Caenorhabditis elegans: one gene and its partners. The protein of the gene in region 4 purifies or fractionates together with the protein of the main gene of each other region. This does not show direct contact. Each region holds a gene or a part of one and is shown on either strand. Other genes may lie near its edges. The genes, in order: lsm-3, lsm-1, lsm-7 and gut-2.

Region 1 (4,351 bases), on a different chromosome or scaffold from region 4:
GACTTTTCAAATTAAAAAAAAATAAATTTTAGCTAAAATCTTCAATTACCAACCTTTTTGGTCCAGTAAATTAGCTTTTTATTTAAATAATCTCGTATTTTGCATATGCTAGTTTTTTCGATTTATTCACTTTTAAAGCCAAAATTTAGTCATTTTTACATGCCTATTAGCTGAAAAAGTGCCTAAAAAGGCCAAAAAATTCACCAAAAAATTTCAAATACTACTCTTTTTTTGTTAAATTTCAAAATTTAAATAAAATAAAATTTCATTTTTTTCGATTTTTGAAGCCAAAAACTATTTTTGCTTTAAAAATCGAAAAAAATTCCAATAAATCAAATTTTGAAATTTAAAAAAAAATACTAGGATTTTTTCGATTTTTGAAGCCAAAAAATCAAAAAAAATTCTATTTATAAGTTTTTCTTCCAAATTTTAATCAAAATAATTTCAGACTGGCAAACCGGCTGTGATAGCTCTTCTGAAAAAGATGTACAACTACAAAACAGTTGTGATGGTTGGTGACGGAGCAACCGATGTTGAAGCTTCACCCCCAGCTGATGCATTCATTGGATTCGGTGGAAATGTCATTAGAGAAGGTGTAAAGGCTCGTGCCAAATGGTACGTCACCGATTTCGATGTTCTTCGGAAAGATCTCGATCATGATGAGTCTGATATTGACGACGAGTAGATAATTCATGTATCTGTACATATCGTTTTTCTTTTTTTTTCATATATTTTCCACACGTTCTCAGTTGGCTTTACTGTGCGGTTTTGAGCATTTTGAGCATCATTTTCTAATCACCTACTAGCGTATTTCTATTTTTTTTTTCTCTCACTGTGAATTTTTCCCTTCATGTACCAGCAAACTTTTGTCTTGTTGTGCCATAAATCTTCTACCACATGATATAGAGTTCCGAAAAATATTCATAAACAAAAATAACGTATGTGTGTGTTTAGATTTAGAAGATCACAAGATGAGAAAAATTTAAAATTGCGAGAAAATGATGACGATGAATTAGGATGCACGAATCGGTGGAGACACGAGAATGACAGAATCACCACGAACGAAAAGCATTGGAACAACACGTTTTGTTTGTTTGTAGATCTCTTCGAATGTGTCTTCGTCGACTTCACGGGTGGTGATTGTCTCTTCAACCTGAAAATATTTTTTTTTAATTTGATGATTATTGAACTACGATCAGAATTTTGTGAAAACAGGTTCTAAATAATGACCTCATAATTAGTTAAATGCGATATTTTGCGCAATAAATACGGTCTTAAAGCGAACTTAAAGCGTACCGAAATCTGAAAAATATATTTAAACGACTCCAAATTTTCTCCTGATTCCGAATATCTAATTGGAAAATTTCAAAAAAAAGTCCCTGATTTTATATTTCAACTTAAAATCGCGATTTTCATTTGCGTCCCCATGAGATTTTTCAAACGGCGAATTTTCGCGCCAGCCATGTGTCGATTTATGAGATTTGTGTAGATTTACGAGATTTTCAATCTTTATCGGATGTAGATTTCCTTTTTTCAACGAGTTTCCTTCATTTTTGTCGGTTTTTTCTAAAGTTTTTTTTTGAAAATGTGTTTTTTTAGGTCAATTAAACATTATATTATTAAAAAACTAACAACATTTTTTGGCGAAAACCGACGAAAATGATGAAAACTCGTTGAAAAACCGAAATCAGCATCTGATAAAGATTGAAAATCTCGTAAATATACCCAAATCTCGTAAATCGACACATGGCGTCTCTGGCGCAAAAATTCGGCGTTTCAAAAATCTCATGGGTGTACAAGCGATTTCAAGCTGAAATAATAAATCAGAGAACATTTTTTTGAATTTTTTCATTTCGATATTCGGAATCAGGGAAAAATTTGAAGTCACTTAAAAATATTTCCACAGATTTCGGTACCTTTTTCTTGAAGTTTTTCTTGGAAAACAAGGTTTTTTTCGAATTAAAACTGTATTGTTTTTCTATTTTATTTATATAGTTTCAATCTATTTTCTAGGGGATTACGGATAATCTGGAGTTTTTTTTTGGAAAAATTGTTTTTTTTCCTATTTTTCGGCTTTAAAATTGAAAATTTAAAGCTTTCTCCAAAGAATTATGGCCTTTTTTGTAGTTTTTTTTTTTGGAAAAAGTTGTGTTTTTTTAAGCTAAACTGTATTTTTTTCGATTTTCTTCTTTTTAAAATTTCAAAGAATTTTCTCAAATCCATTTCGAGGAGAGGTAGAACCTATAATTAGAAATTGTCTAGGATTTCGCATTTTTCTTTGACTAAGATACTTTCACAAAGTTTCAGTTTTTAAACAGTTTTACAATTTTTTAAAACTTTTCAACAACGACAAACCTCCGATAAAACCATGTTCAAATGTTGATCGAAAGCTCTGAGACGACCGCGCAACTGAAAAATCGAGATTTGTAACACAAAAAAAATCCCAAAATAAAATAATTTCCAACCTCTCTGTCGTTTCTCATTTTGACATAAACTCTCTCATCCAAACTGAGACGGAGCAAATCGAGTGGCTCTTCGACTGTAGCAGACAGTGTCACTTCTTTCTTTTCGGTGGCCATCTGGAAAAAAATTTGAAAAACTAAAAGTTTGAAAATAATAAAAAGAAAGAAAATAGTGAATTGAGAAATCAACATTTGAATCATCAGAAAATTAATTTTTCGAGCATAATACACGGACACACTTTTTCATTCCAGCAGTATAATTTCGCGTAAAAAATTCAAATTACAGAAAAATGAAAAATGAAAAATCAATAAATTATTTTTGACACATTCCGGAAAGCTCAATTCACTTTCCAGCCTCCACAGCAGCAGCAGCAACATCAGGAAGCACATCGAGCCGTTCAGGGCTCACATAGTTCATTTCAGTGACTGGATCCACGAAACCGACTGGTCCTTGCTCACATTCACCACACACCAGATACTGAAAATTGGGATTTTAAAGTTTTAGATTTCAAAAAAAGTTGAAACCCACTCGTTTGCCTTCAGAAGATCTTGTAAATCCAACATTTTCAAAAGCGAACATATCCTTGACTCCGAAAAATCCACGGATCGGCTCTGTCTGAGTATGATCGATTCCTTTCTTTTGACGTGGCAATGGAAGATCACGTTCTTCGTCGAGATATTCAGTAGTCATATTCTTCAGAATAACAACAGTTTGACAGATTTTACAAATGTATGTGCTCTCATTTGTCTCCACTTTCACTACGCTGCTTCTGCTCTCCGTCGGGCTTTTTGAGGGCTGCTGAAATAATTAATCAATTAAAAAATCATTTTTCTTGCTTAAAACATATTAATATCTTCTTGAAAATAATTCACCATCAAGGCTGAAGGCTGCGAGTTCGTCGAGGAGCTCATCTTTCTTCTCAATCTGCTTGTAGAGCGCGGCGATTTTCCGTCTTTCCTTGTACTCTTCGACGCCGATGTCGGGAATCGATTTCAGAGCGTCTTTGAAGCTTGCGATGTCGGCCTCGACGTTTCGAAGACGAACAGTAAGCTCAGAACCGCTTCCTTTCTCCACGCTGAAATAATTAACCTCGTTTCTTTTTAATAACTACAAATTCCGAACTTACGAGTTCACAAGATGGAATAAATCTGCGTATAATTTGTTCAAATAGCTTTCAGCACTTGGCTTGATCACTTCTTTGCTCATGAACAAACTCTGAAAATAGTCGAATACTGGAAAATTGATTTGAAAATAATTCCAATAAAGAATTAAGTTGAAATTGGCTTGCGTTCGATGGAGCGCGTTTGCTTCTTGCAAGCCTAGCACACAAGATTTGCAACAACGCCGCACACTTGTTGCAGAGTACGTTGCAGAGTATTTTTCCTTTTTTTCTGCTTTATGTCTCGATTTAAGATGATTTCCCCGATATTTTTGTTCTAATTTTTACTAAATTGTATAGAATTATCATAATTTTCTCTATTTTCCCATTTTAGAAAATGCTCAAATGCTCACACGCCATTAGGAGAATATCACCGCGAAATCTTTGCACGGCGAGTACCTCCGCGGAAATCGCCAATGTAAGTAAAACTTGCGTTGTTATCAATTGGCAAACAATTAATTTCTGAAATTTAGGCTGTTCCATTAATTTCCAACAATCGTTCATATGTGTTTGATACTCCACAAGTATCAGTTCCAACGTTTGAGTTGAGTCGTCGAGTTGGAAATCTCTTCGCGCAGTCCTTCTACACATTATGTTACGAGAAAAGCTTCACTGTTGAGAGCTTGGTGCACGGAGCCAATAAAGGCATTCACAGTCTTTCTCATTTTCTAGCTGATGAAAAATGGGATCAAATGGAGAATTTGGCGGTGAAAGATGCTGTTGAGAATA
Region 2 (3,469 bases), on a different chromosome or scaffold from region 4:
AAATGTTTCGATAGAATATTTGACTGTTCGGGGGAGCGGGGGAGGAACGATTACCGTCTATTCTCTATTAGTGCTGCATGCAACACTAATTTCCAGGCCCTTTTTTTAATGTAGCACTATTAGAGACTGCAGTACTACTGGAGACTGCAGCATTAATTTTCGAACAACTATTTTCAATTTTAGATCACTAGTTTTTAGACACAAAAGCTCTTTTTTTAGCAGAAATTCATAAAAATTGCGAACTTTTGTAACAAAAAGACCCCATAATTCAATTACTCTCGTAAATTATCAAAAATTCATCAAAAATATACAAAAAAATACCCAAAAATATCGAAACTATCAAGTGACTCTTTCAATAGAAAATGTGGTGCAGCACTAATAGAGACTGCAGCACTATTTTTCGGACCCTTTTTGAATGCAGCACTATTAGAGACTGCAGTACTACTGGAGATGTAGCACTAATAGAGAATATACGGTAAGTATAAAATATGCATAACTGACACGTTTTAGCACGAAAATGCAAGCTTTTTTGGTTAAGCGAGAGGAAAGAGAAGCAAGCACCACCGCTCTATCGATTTCTCCTCGTTTTCTGTGGAGATTTGGCTGCATTAGGCATGCATTTGCGAGCAGATTAGAGCGCCAAGCAACTTATTTGAGATGAACAGAAGCTGTAAGATTTTGATGCGTTGCCCAAAAACAAATAAACTTACGCATACAGTTGCAACCCGAGTCCTTGGATCTTCTAAATACGGCTTCGATGGGAATTGGAAGTTGAAAGCAATCCTCCGATATATATTCAGATCATAACACCTTCAAGTAAAAAAAAGAAATCAAAACATTTTTGAAATTGAATCAAATTAGTTTACTTCTCGTCAGAATATCAAGGAATTACATAAAATTTCAAACAAACATAGCACAAGAAAGGGAAATTTCAAATTGAAAATCGAGATGTAGAATCAACCCGTGCGACGTGTTTTCTTTTTTCAGAATACAGATTCATGCATCGTGTTCTTCTGTTTTCTCTGCTTGTCGTTTTAGGAACTTTGGCGGATTTTTGGCAATATACTCATCCTCCAGCCGACGAAATTCTTCGGGAGACACCTGAAAGGATAAATTATTAAGAGATAGATTATAGAAAAATCATTTAAAAACCTGCGTAAGTCCAGTCTCAATGGTATCATCGATTTCTCCAGCAAGCTCAACATTCTCTCCGCGAATAAGCATGAATCCTTGACCCGTTTCACAGAAGTATTTCTCAACAAATGTGCGTTCTACGACATCTTCCAATATAAGATTGGCAAATTGATCTATCGATCTCAAGAAGCCAATCAATTTCCGTCCGTCGCGGAGAACAACTAATAATTTTTTGTCAAGCTGCTCGAACAAGCTTATTGCTCCGGGTAAATAGGGATCGGGCAAGTCCATGATCTGAAAACGAAAAAATTAGATTAAAATACGAATAAAACATTGAATTCGAAGAGATTTCAAACAATAAGTGGAATTTTCGGTTAAAAACACGGGCAAAGGCTTAAATCATGAATATTTAACATTGAATGCCAGTTCCTGATAGTGTTTTTCGTTGGTAAACGTTATTTTTACTAATTTTTATTGAAATTATATGAGTTTAAGATTTATATAAGCTCAAAACTGCTATAGACTCGTTAAAATTAGCAGGAAAATATTAAAAAGAACCGAATGGAAAAGAAACGAGAGACTGTGCATGCATGAGAGGGTGTTTTTTCTCTGGTAAAGGCACACCGATTTACGCGGGTGGGTCCCGCAACGACCACCGACCGTAGTCGTCCCCACTCTTTTAGGCCGAACCTGACAATTTTTCTTTTTTTCTATTATTTTTTGGGAAAATCGCTGAATTTTTGAATGAAATTGTCAGAAAATTAATTAAAAAAATGAATTTTCATTACATTATTGTTATTTTTATCGTTAATTTGTAATTTGCTTCCCTCTGTTTTCGTTGTTGCTGCCTCAAACTTCAATTTTCTATTTATTTTTTTCAGGGTTCAACTATGGCACGTCTGAAGACTGTGCAATCTAAAGTGACAAAGTCGCCACGCCGTCCGTTCGAGAAGGAGCGCCTTGACCAGGTTTGAAATGTCAAAGTAAAATTTATATTTTAAAATTTTGTTTTACAGGAGCTCAAGCTCATCGGAACTTTCGGACTCAAGAACAAGCGTGAGGTCTGGCGTGTCAAGTACACCCTCGCCAAGGTCCGTAAGGCGGCTCGTGAGCTTCTTACTCTTGAAGACAAGGATCCAAAGCGTCTTTTCGAAGGAAATGCCCTTCTCCGTCGTCTTGTCAAGATCGGTGTCCTCGACGAGACCAAGATGAAGCTCGATTACGTTCTCGGTCTTAAGGTCGAGGACTTCCTTGAGCGCAGGCTCCAAACCCAGGTCTTCAAGCTCGGACTTGCCAAGTCTATCCACCACGCCCGTATCTTGATCAAGCAGCACCACATCCGGTTAGTTTTTGTTTCTGTATAAAAATATATTTAAAAATGAAACAGTTTTTAGAACTATCATTTTAACATTAAATTCATCTTTCGGAAAATTGATTGTTCTGGCAGTTAATTTTTTACAAATGTTTTTCGATTTAAACCAGTTAGGTATTCCTGCGCTATTTTGAAGACTGATCCAGTAGTCATTGTCCGGAATATTTCATTAAAAAATTTATTTCACTGAAAGATGACATGACAAATTACAAGATTAGTATCGACTTCAAATTCTTCTCTTTCAGTGTCCGCAGACAAGTTGTCGATGTCCCATCCTTCATCGTTCGTTTGGACTCCCAGAAGCACATCGACTTCTCTCTTCAATCTCCATACGGAGGTGGCCGTCCAGGACGCGTCAAGCGACGCACCTTGAGAAAGGGAGATGGAGCCGGAGGCGACGACGAGGAATAAATTTGTTTTGGTTACAAATAAAATTGTTGGACATAACGTCTTCCAGTGATTCGTTTTATTTTTTAAAAAGCCTTTTGGAAGAAATAGTTTTACAAGCAATTGTGCGATTCCGTTGTTCACGTCCGAGCAAATTTGAATTTAAAAAATCCAGTGCGGTTTTTCTGGAGAACTTTCGCTGGCTTGATCGAAATAGTATAAAAATCATGGAAGCCGGGGGTGTGCAGCAAATTTTTTTTAAAAAAGTAGATTTTCCGCACATCAAAAATTTAACAATACATTTTTGACCAAAACTATTGATTTTGTACAAAAAATGGCACAAAATTAAGTTATTCTGATGATCAAGCAAACACAATACATGGAACTTATTAACGAATTGAGCTCCTGCGCTTACAGAAATGAACAATCCGTTCCACGTTGGCCACGTGGGAAATATAGCCAGAAACCGGTTCTTTCTTCTGCAGCTCTGCGCGCTTCAAGTGCATTTTCCGCTATGCCTATTGATCTTTGGCATAAATTTTATTTTGAACAAATGAAAAGAGATCCGATTGTGGA
Region 3 (3,318 bases), on a different chromosome or scaffold from region 4:
TCAAGATAACAACCAAAACTGAACGTACGCCAATCTTTAAATAGAAATATGAATTTTACGAGTGGAAAAGAGAAATCCAGAACTGAGGAACAACTTTTTTATTTTCAAATTTTCGAAAGAAAACCTTTTTAACCTATTCGATTTCAGATGAGCGTCAGAAAGATGTGGAAGAAATCCGCAGCCAACAACCGAACAAGGTTCCGGTAATTATCGAAAGATTTGATGGAGAACGCAGTTTACCACTTATGGATCGCTGCAAATTCCTAGTACCCGAGCATATAACCGTTGCCGAGCTCATGTCAATTGTTAGACGACGGTGAGCTATTCAACTGAGTTGTTTTTTCAAAATCATCCGTTTGCTTTTCAGCCTCCAACTTCATCCACAACAAGCATTCTTCCTGCTCGTCAATGAACGCTCAATGGTGTCAAATTCTATGAGCATGTCCAATTTGTACAGTCAAGAGCGTGATCCAGATGGCTTTGTGTATATGGTTTACACGTCTCAACCAGCATTTGGATAACACATCAAGAGCCGTTTTCCATCACAATTCTAATCAATTTTTAAATTTCCACCAACACCACTGATTGCCCAATGCAATCCTCACTGTAAAATGTTGTATTTTTAAATGTAAATACCTGAAAACCCATCATACTCAGGCGCCAACCATTTTTCTAGTTGCCTTTGCTAATTTCGCCCCTCGCAATTCCCCACCTCAAAACTTCCAGCTGAAATTTGTTTTACAAACGAAAAAAAAGAAACCCAAATTCGCTTACGTTTTCGTGTAGTCTTTATGTGTTCCCTCATAACTCTTTCTCCGCATTTTCCAGCCCGTTTCTTGAATTTCTTCATGTCTTCTTTTCACAACTGATCCTCTTTCAACAAAATTTAAACCGTTTACGATTCTGTGTACTTGGCTAGTCTCTAAAGCCCATAGGGACTATTTTCCTTACTGCCCTGAACATTGAAATTTACCGCTATGGACTTTCTGACTGCCTAGACGGATTCAATTCAAAATTATTACATCTTGTTCCATCGTTACTTTTCCAAATTCAATGTATCAAATGTTTTGTATGTAATAACAACTTTTTCGTCGTTTTTATCTGGAGAATGTTCATTCACAAGGAGATCACATACATATATAATAATAATAAGAGATGATGATGATATCAACGATTATTCTTCTTCCTGGGTTGCGAATGGATTGGCGATTTGCTCGAGTCCATCTGCTGGGCTAACTACTGTAATTGCTGTTCCGCGAGCCACAATAAGACCCAGTTGTCTTAAGATAAAAGATAAGATAAAATCGAAAATCTAGATTTAATTTGAAATCCAAGCTTTAAATCGATTTTTGGAAATCTATCAATTACCTTGTCTCATCACCGACGACCGAAGGATTTTGTGGATCACGGAGATACTCGCGGCAGTCATCAAGAACCATATTGAGCAACTGATCGAATCCTCGAAGCACGCCACTTGCTGAAATTTATACATTTTTATGGAGTGAAGTACAGCTTGTGTATGTTGGACGCTTTCATATTGTTTAAATAGTTTAATGACGGAATCTTATTGCTAGTGCACATCATTGTGCAAAAAAAAAACCAACCTTCACGTCCTCCTTGGAACTTGACGCGAATCTCTTTGTCGAGAAATCTGGTGAGATCAACGACAGACTCCTTCTTTCGTTTTCCTTCGTCTTTCTAAAATAATACAACAATTATAAATAACTTATTCATTGTATTTTTAAAACATACCGACATTTCTCTGTGTTGAGTTGTGGTGAGTCTGAAATAATTCCGAAATTTTGAATGAAATTATCGATTACGAATGAAATAAATTAAGCTGACAAAATCTTATTGATTTAGAATTTTTTTAAACGGTATTTTTAATTGATAAATTATGATTTAAAATTACAAACGTATATAGAGAAGAAAATAAAATAAAGAAAAGAAAAAATAAATTCGAAAAATATTAGCTCAACAACGGTGCTGACGCACTTTTCGAACACACAGCGCACCGGAAACGCGCCAGCGATCCCAGAGTGTTTGCAATTTTCGGCTCCTTTCTTTTTCCTCTGTTCCTCAATTTATTTCGCAACAGTTTATCGATTTTGAACTATTTTTTCCAGGTAGTTCGATATTGATTCGTTTGGAAAATTGGTGACCGAACGCAATCTTCCAGATGTCGTTCGAAATAGGAACTCGGGTAAAAAGTAAGCCAAATAAGTTGAATTATCGTTTCATATTTATTTTCTTCAGCAAGCTCGGGAAATGGAAGAGTCGTGTTTTGCGGACAAACGCAATTCGCAGAAGGTGATTGGGTTGGAGTGATTCTTGATACGGCGACCGGAAAAAACAACGGAACTGTTCAAAATGTTCAATATTTCGAATGCGAACCGAATTTTGGGGTTTTCGTGAAATCGAGCGCTGTTGAGTTGGAGGATGCATCAAAGAGATCAGGACTGAAAGCTCCAGCAGCTTCTGCTATTCGAAAAGATTCTAGTGTAATGAGCAGATCCGCAGGTTCTAAGGCTTCACCAGGAGTAAGAAATTTTAATTATATTTTCAACGTCTCACTTATATAAATTTAGTCAAGCCCTGGAATGTCACCTGCTGCTTCGTCCGAAAAATTGACAGGTCGTCAAACAGGAATGGGCCCACGCTCAATGTCGAAGCTGGCAGATCCCAATGAGGTAATTTTTGAAATTTAAACACTTGGGAAATCCTTTTATAGAAAAAGCGGTCTACAACTCCGCAAAAGGCGAGATCTCCAGCTCCGCCAATGACGAAAAAGAACTCCGAGTCAACGGTAATCTATGCTGATAGTAAATGACCCTTTTTCGTTTACTGTTTCTGAATTGGCAAGATTATGTCTGCTTTCCTCGGTTGTCAAATTATCAGCTTGATTATGTTCTTCCCCATTATTATCATTTGTCCTGCTTCATGTGATTTTAATCGTTGTTTCAGTCGAGAATGGTTCGTGAATTCTCCAACTTATCGCAATCTTCTGTCGCTTCGAGTCGTGCTAGTGCATCAGCTTCTAAACCTAGGGTTTGTATAATGCTCAAATTATTAAATCTTGACCTTTGCGTGGGAATGTATGATTGGTGTATGGCTGGTGGAACATGTTGCTTGCTCATAGCTCAAACACGTAATTTTTACTTGTGTTAGAAAATTCACAAGTCGGTCTGGAATATATTCTAATTTCATTACAGATAAATTGACAAATAATTTATTTTAAAGAACTACATAACTAACAACATGTACAACCAACATTCATTTAATCATAATCATTCTACTACCGCTTGTTTCAGATAACCA
Region 4 (3,985 bases):
TCTCCGGCTGAGATTTTCTCCATTAAATCTTTCGAGTTTTCTTGAAGTTTGTTGAGTTGGAGAGTAAGATTCTCGACAAGATCAGCGTGTTCTTTCAACTCGTTTTTGTACTTTGTTGCTTTTTTCTCACTTTCTGCCAACTTTTCTTTCAAATCATTGATGGACGAGTCTCGTTCCGAAATTTCTTTGTTCTTTTCTTCCAGAAGACTTCGTTCCTTATCGAGAAGAGATCCCATTGAGGCGAGCTCGTTAGTGAGGTCAAGATTTGCCATTTCAAGCTGAAAAATCATCTAAATTCAGCTGGAGTTTTTCCTATTTTTTCTTTGGGTTTCTTTTAAAGAGTACAATTTTCATTCACTAGAAATGCTACTCAGATATGAAATTTACAATTTTTGAGCAAAAAATACGGTATTCAGTCTCGCCACGATCAAATTTTCGAAAATACTGTAATGCCAAACTCTCGTTACTACTCCCGTTTCAAAAAAAAACACACTTCCGCAGTAGCGAGTTTAAAATTACAGTACTCTTTAAAGGCGCACATCCTTTTCCATTTAACAAAAAAGTCGTGTCGAGACCGGGATATAGAATTTTACATAACTTTCTCACCGTTTTTAGTCTTTCCCCTTGCACTGTTACTTTTTCCTCGAAAACCGCCTCAATTCGTTTCCTCTCCGCTGTATTCTGCAAACATTGTTTATAAAACCGGCAAATTGAAATTGAGTTTCAGGTTACAGCTTTGCCTAATACGATAAAATAAACAAAGAAATTAACTAACCCGCTCGAATTTTGAATTCAGGCTTATCATTTGTTCTTCATTAGATCCATTGATATTAGATAACATTTGAAGAGCATCTTGTGATTCTTGTACTTTATCTTCGAGCCTTTTAACGTTTTGCTTGTTTTCACTTAATTCGAACACGTTCTCTTCGATTCTGGCTTCTAATTGAACAACCCGTTCATTTCGTTGTTTCAATTCTTCGGATTGAGCATCATACGATATTTGCAACTGCTTCACAGTTTCTTCTCCTTCGCCAATTTTCTTTTCCAAGTTCTCATTTACGATGTGCTGTTTTTCACGTTCCATGCTTAAATTACGAATCGAATTTAGGTGTTCCTTGATTTCGATATCTTTCTCCTGAGAAATAGCATCCATTAGTTTTTGAGCATTAACTAGCTCAGTACGCAAAACATTCACATCATCTTCAGAAGGCCTCTGATCGAGCATCTTTTCAAGCCGAGAAACTTCGATTTCGTACCGAACAACATCTGATTTCACAACTTTCAGCTCTCTTTTCAGATCCTCCATTTCAACTTTGCCCGATTCAGATTCATCCGTAATTTCGCGCATTGTGACGCTCATCTGTTTCAATTTGGCCATCAAATCTCCACGTTCTTGTTTAACTTGTTGCAATTCTCGGGACTGCTGGCCGCTCTCTTTCTCAAGTTCCAGAAATTGCCGAGTAACCATTCCTTTGTCGGCTGTGAGAACTTGAATCTGCTGTGCCATGTATGGAATCTCATCTTCTGTGACTTCTGAAGCTATTGCCATTACCGATTTAATATTATCAAGTTCTTCTTTTATCCGTTCAGCAAAACGTTTCTCTTCGTTAACTCTTATTCGAAGCTCTTCAATTTCTTGATCTTTTGTAGCAAAGGCGAGTGGAGCTTGCTGAGGTGGAGTGTAATCGGGATGATTTCTGTTGGCTGATGTCTGAAACTATCAAAAAATTCTATTGAATCAGAGATTAATCAACTTACGTCAGAATGTTCTTTTTCAAAATGAACAGTAAGTTCATCAGGACCACCGAGCTCTACCATACACATTGGGCACAAGAACCCTTCGATCTCCTGATCATTTTCTGATTTTTGTGATTGCGACTGTGAACCTTGACTTGAAATACTTGGTCGACTGTTGTTTAGTCGGCCGTCAATCTAAATAAATTATCAAAATGGAAAAAACTAATTTTTTTACAAAACGGAAAACTTACATCATTCGCGACTTGCGAAACTTGTTCTTTCAACCTTCGAAGCATGTGTTCTGGAAAACAACAGTTCATCGATGCGATAATTCGAATGTAACGAACGGAGATTTAAATGTGATACACGAAATAGATTACAACAAATTGAGATATATCATCAGATCGATATAAACGAAGAGGGAAGGCGAAAAGCATTGATTTGACAACAAAACCGGCGCATTTTCTTCTCTTTCTGTCTCGAAAGATGATTCAAACATAGCGCAAAACAAACTGGCAAGTGGAATTCTCTGTTGGTCACTCAAATAAATAACCGGATTCCCTCTGATTTCTTTTCGTCTCTTCTCTCTCGTCTGGCAACGATGCTCCGTTTTGACGCAGTGCGCCTTGTTTATAATTAGTTTTGAATATTATTTTTTCATTAATTTTCTGAATCTTTGCAATTCTTCGACGATTTAACATAAAATGGTTAGTTTTCCTTTTAATTTTGTGATATAAATTGAAAAAGTACATACTCAAATTATTAAATGTGTTATAAAACTGTTGGTTGTCTCGGATATGAGGCTGTTCCGCTTAAATGTAATTTAAATTAATGGTTTAGGTATGTAGAAAGTCCCGAATTTTTGTTGTAACTCACGAAATATTACTATTTCAGCTGTTCTTCTCATTCTTCAAATCACTCGTAGGAAAGGACGTTGTCGTGGAGCTCAAAAATGATTTGAGGTGCGGTTTGTTAAATCAGTATATACAATTTACAGAAAATCGAGAAAATAACTGGAACCCATGTAAAACTTCAATTTCAAGACATTTCTTAAAAATTGGTTCACAAAAAATGCTTAAAACTTCTTGGGTTCAATATTCTGAATGTCTAGAAAGAATTCGAAACTCCCCGAAAATATGTATTAGCCAGACGGAAATCATTTTCAACGATACACTTCCACATAATGAAAATTCCGAATTTCTCGAAATCTCTTTAAACGCAAGTGCCATTCCTGGGTTTGAATTTAAATTATGAAATTCCATTTAAGATTAGTTCTGCTAATTTTTATAAGTTTTGAAGTTTAAATCTCACAAAATTAATATTTAAAAAATAATTATCTTATTCTAATCTCTCAAATGCAAATTCTAATAATTTTTCAGTATCTGCGGAACTCTGCACTCGGTCGATCAGTATCTCAACATGAAGTTGACCGATATCACCGTCTCCGATCCAGAACGATTTCCACATATGGTCTCTGTCAAAAACTGCTTCATCCGCGGATCCGTCGTCAGGTACAATTAGTTATCATTTTTCATAAATATTTCAAAATGATTCTTTAAAGGTACGTGCAACTCCCATCCGATCAAGTCGACACACAACTCTTGGCTGACTCCTGCCGGAAGGAGCTTCTCGATTCAAAGGCAAAACAGTAAATCCACGTGTTCATTCCTCAAAGTTCATCTCATTTTTTGTCAAGTTTGATATCATCTCATTTAAAAAAATATTTATTTTTATAAAAAATTCGTAACAAACAGGTTTTATTCACAGTTTCAAATGGTGTTTATTGCAGGCGTGTTCATTTTGTTTTCTCCATTGAGGGCACCGGTATGATAGTAGAAAGTATTTGATTGCTAAATAATTCCAGAATATTACGTACTGATGGCCACACCGTATTGTCCATAATGAGTCCAATAGGAGATGTTAAACGTGAGAAATAGTACAGGGAACATGACTCGAGATATAAGATCTGCTCTTTTCGACTTGTCATTCCATTCAGTCTTTGTTTTGATCCATTTCCAGACGCTATTTGTTTGACGGCGATTCATTCGAACTGTCATTACTTCTCGTTCTTGTTCAGCAACTTCTCGTGGTACCCACACATCGTTATGTGAATTTTGAAGGAATGGAAGTTCAGCTTTCTCTCTTTCAGTTCGAGCCCCTGAAAATTAGCAAAAAAAACGTAGGAAAAATTCTGAAAAAAAATCCCAACTGACTCTTATTAGCATCTTGCTTGTTTGCAATATAAGTC

Evidence for each region.
Region 1: the proteins of gut-2 (region 4) and lsm-3 fractionate together in Caenorhabditis elegans (co-fractionation; one large-scale study listed by BioGRID). This does not show direct contact.
Region 2: the proteins of gut-2 (region 4) and lsm-1 fractionate together in Caenorhabditis elegans (co-fractionation; one large-scale study listed by BioGRID). This does not show direct contact.
Region 3: the proteins of gut-2 (region 4) and lsm-7 fractionate together in Caenorhabditis elegans (co-fractionation; one large-scale study listed by BioGRID). This does not show direct contact.

What each region holds. Positions count from the first base shown.
Region 1 is NC_003282.8:13,385,697-13,390,047, reverse strand, and holds lsm-3 (U6 snRNA-associated Sm-like protein LSm3), read right to left. Parts: upstream 2,580-4,351; coding exon 2,466-2,579; intron 2,410-2,465; coding exon 2,356-2,409; intron 1,154-2,355; coding exon 1,013-1,153; 3' UTR 905-1,012; downstream 1-904. Other genes in the region: Y62E10A.13 (Phosphoserine phosphatase), read left to right, coding at 449-685; mdt-9 (Guanine nucleotide exchange factor MSS4), read right to left, coding at 2,806-2,940, 2,992-3,261, 3,336-3,374; Y62E10A.23 (Mediator complex subunit 9), read right to left, coding at 3,203-3,261, 3,336-3,538, 3,590-3,669; Y62E10A.20 (Tim44-like domain-containing protein), read left to right, coding at 3,960-4,040, 4,096-4,351.
Region 2 is NC_003280.10:11,124,909-11,128,377, reverse strand, and holds lsm-1 (U6 snRNA-associated Sm-like protein LSm1), read right to left. Parts: upstream 1,429-3,469; 5' UTR 1,426-1,428; coding exon 1,153-1,425; intron 1,102-1,152; coding exon 997-1,101; 3' UTR 850-996; downstream 1-849. Other genes in the region: F40F8.1 (UMP-CMP kinase), read right to left, coding at 711-714; rps-9 (Small ribosomal subunit protein uS4), read left to right, coding at 2,025-2,102, 2,151-2,476, 2,752-2,917.
Region 3 is NC_003282.8:10,931,967-10,935,284, reverse strand, and holds lsm-7 (U6 snRNA-associated Sm-like protein LSm7), read right to left. Parts: upstream 1,784-3,318; 5' UTR 1,759-1,783; coding exon 1,753-1,758; intron 1,699-1,752; coding exon 1,605-1,698; intron 1,478-1,604; coding exon 1,369-1,477; intron 1,281-1,368; coding exon 1,175-1,280; 3' UTR 1,096-1,174; downstream 1-1,095. Other genes in the region: Protein lgg-2, read left to right, coding at 148-316, 368-521; dnc-1 (Dynactin subunit 1), read left to right, coding at 2,180-2,210, 2,257-2,540, 2,589-2,690, 2,732-2,806, 2,965-3,048.
Region 4 is NC_003283.11:13,495,335-13,499,319, forward strand, and holds gut-2 (U6 snRNA-associated Sm-like protein LSm2), read left to right. Parts: upstream 1-2,406; 5' UTR 2,407-2,441; coding exon 2,442-2,444; intron 2,445-2,631; coding exon 2,632-2,699; intron 2,700-3,116; coding exon 3,117-3,248; intron 3,249-3,298; coding exon 3,299-3,389; 3' UTR 3,390-3,485; downstream 3,486-3,985. Other genes in the region: eea-1 (FYVE-type domain-containing protein), read right to left, coding at 1-278, 607-681, 776-1,717, 1,759-1,932, 1,989-2,033; avr-15 (Ig-like domain-containing protein), read right to left, coding at 3,606-3,895, 3,951-3,985.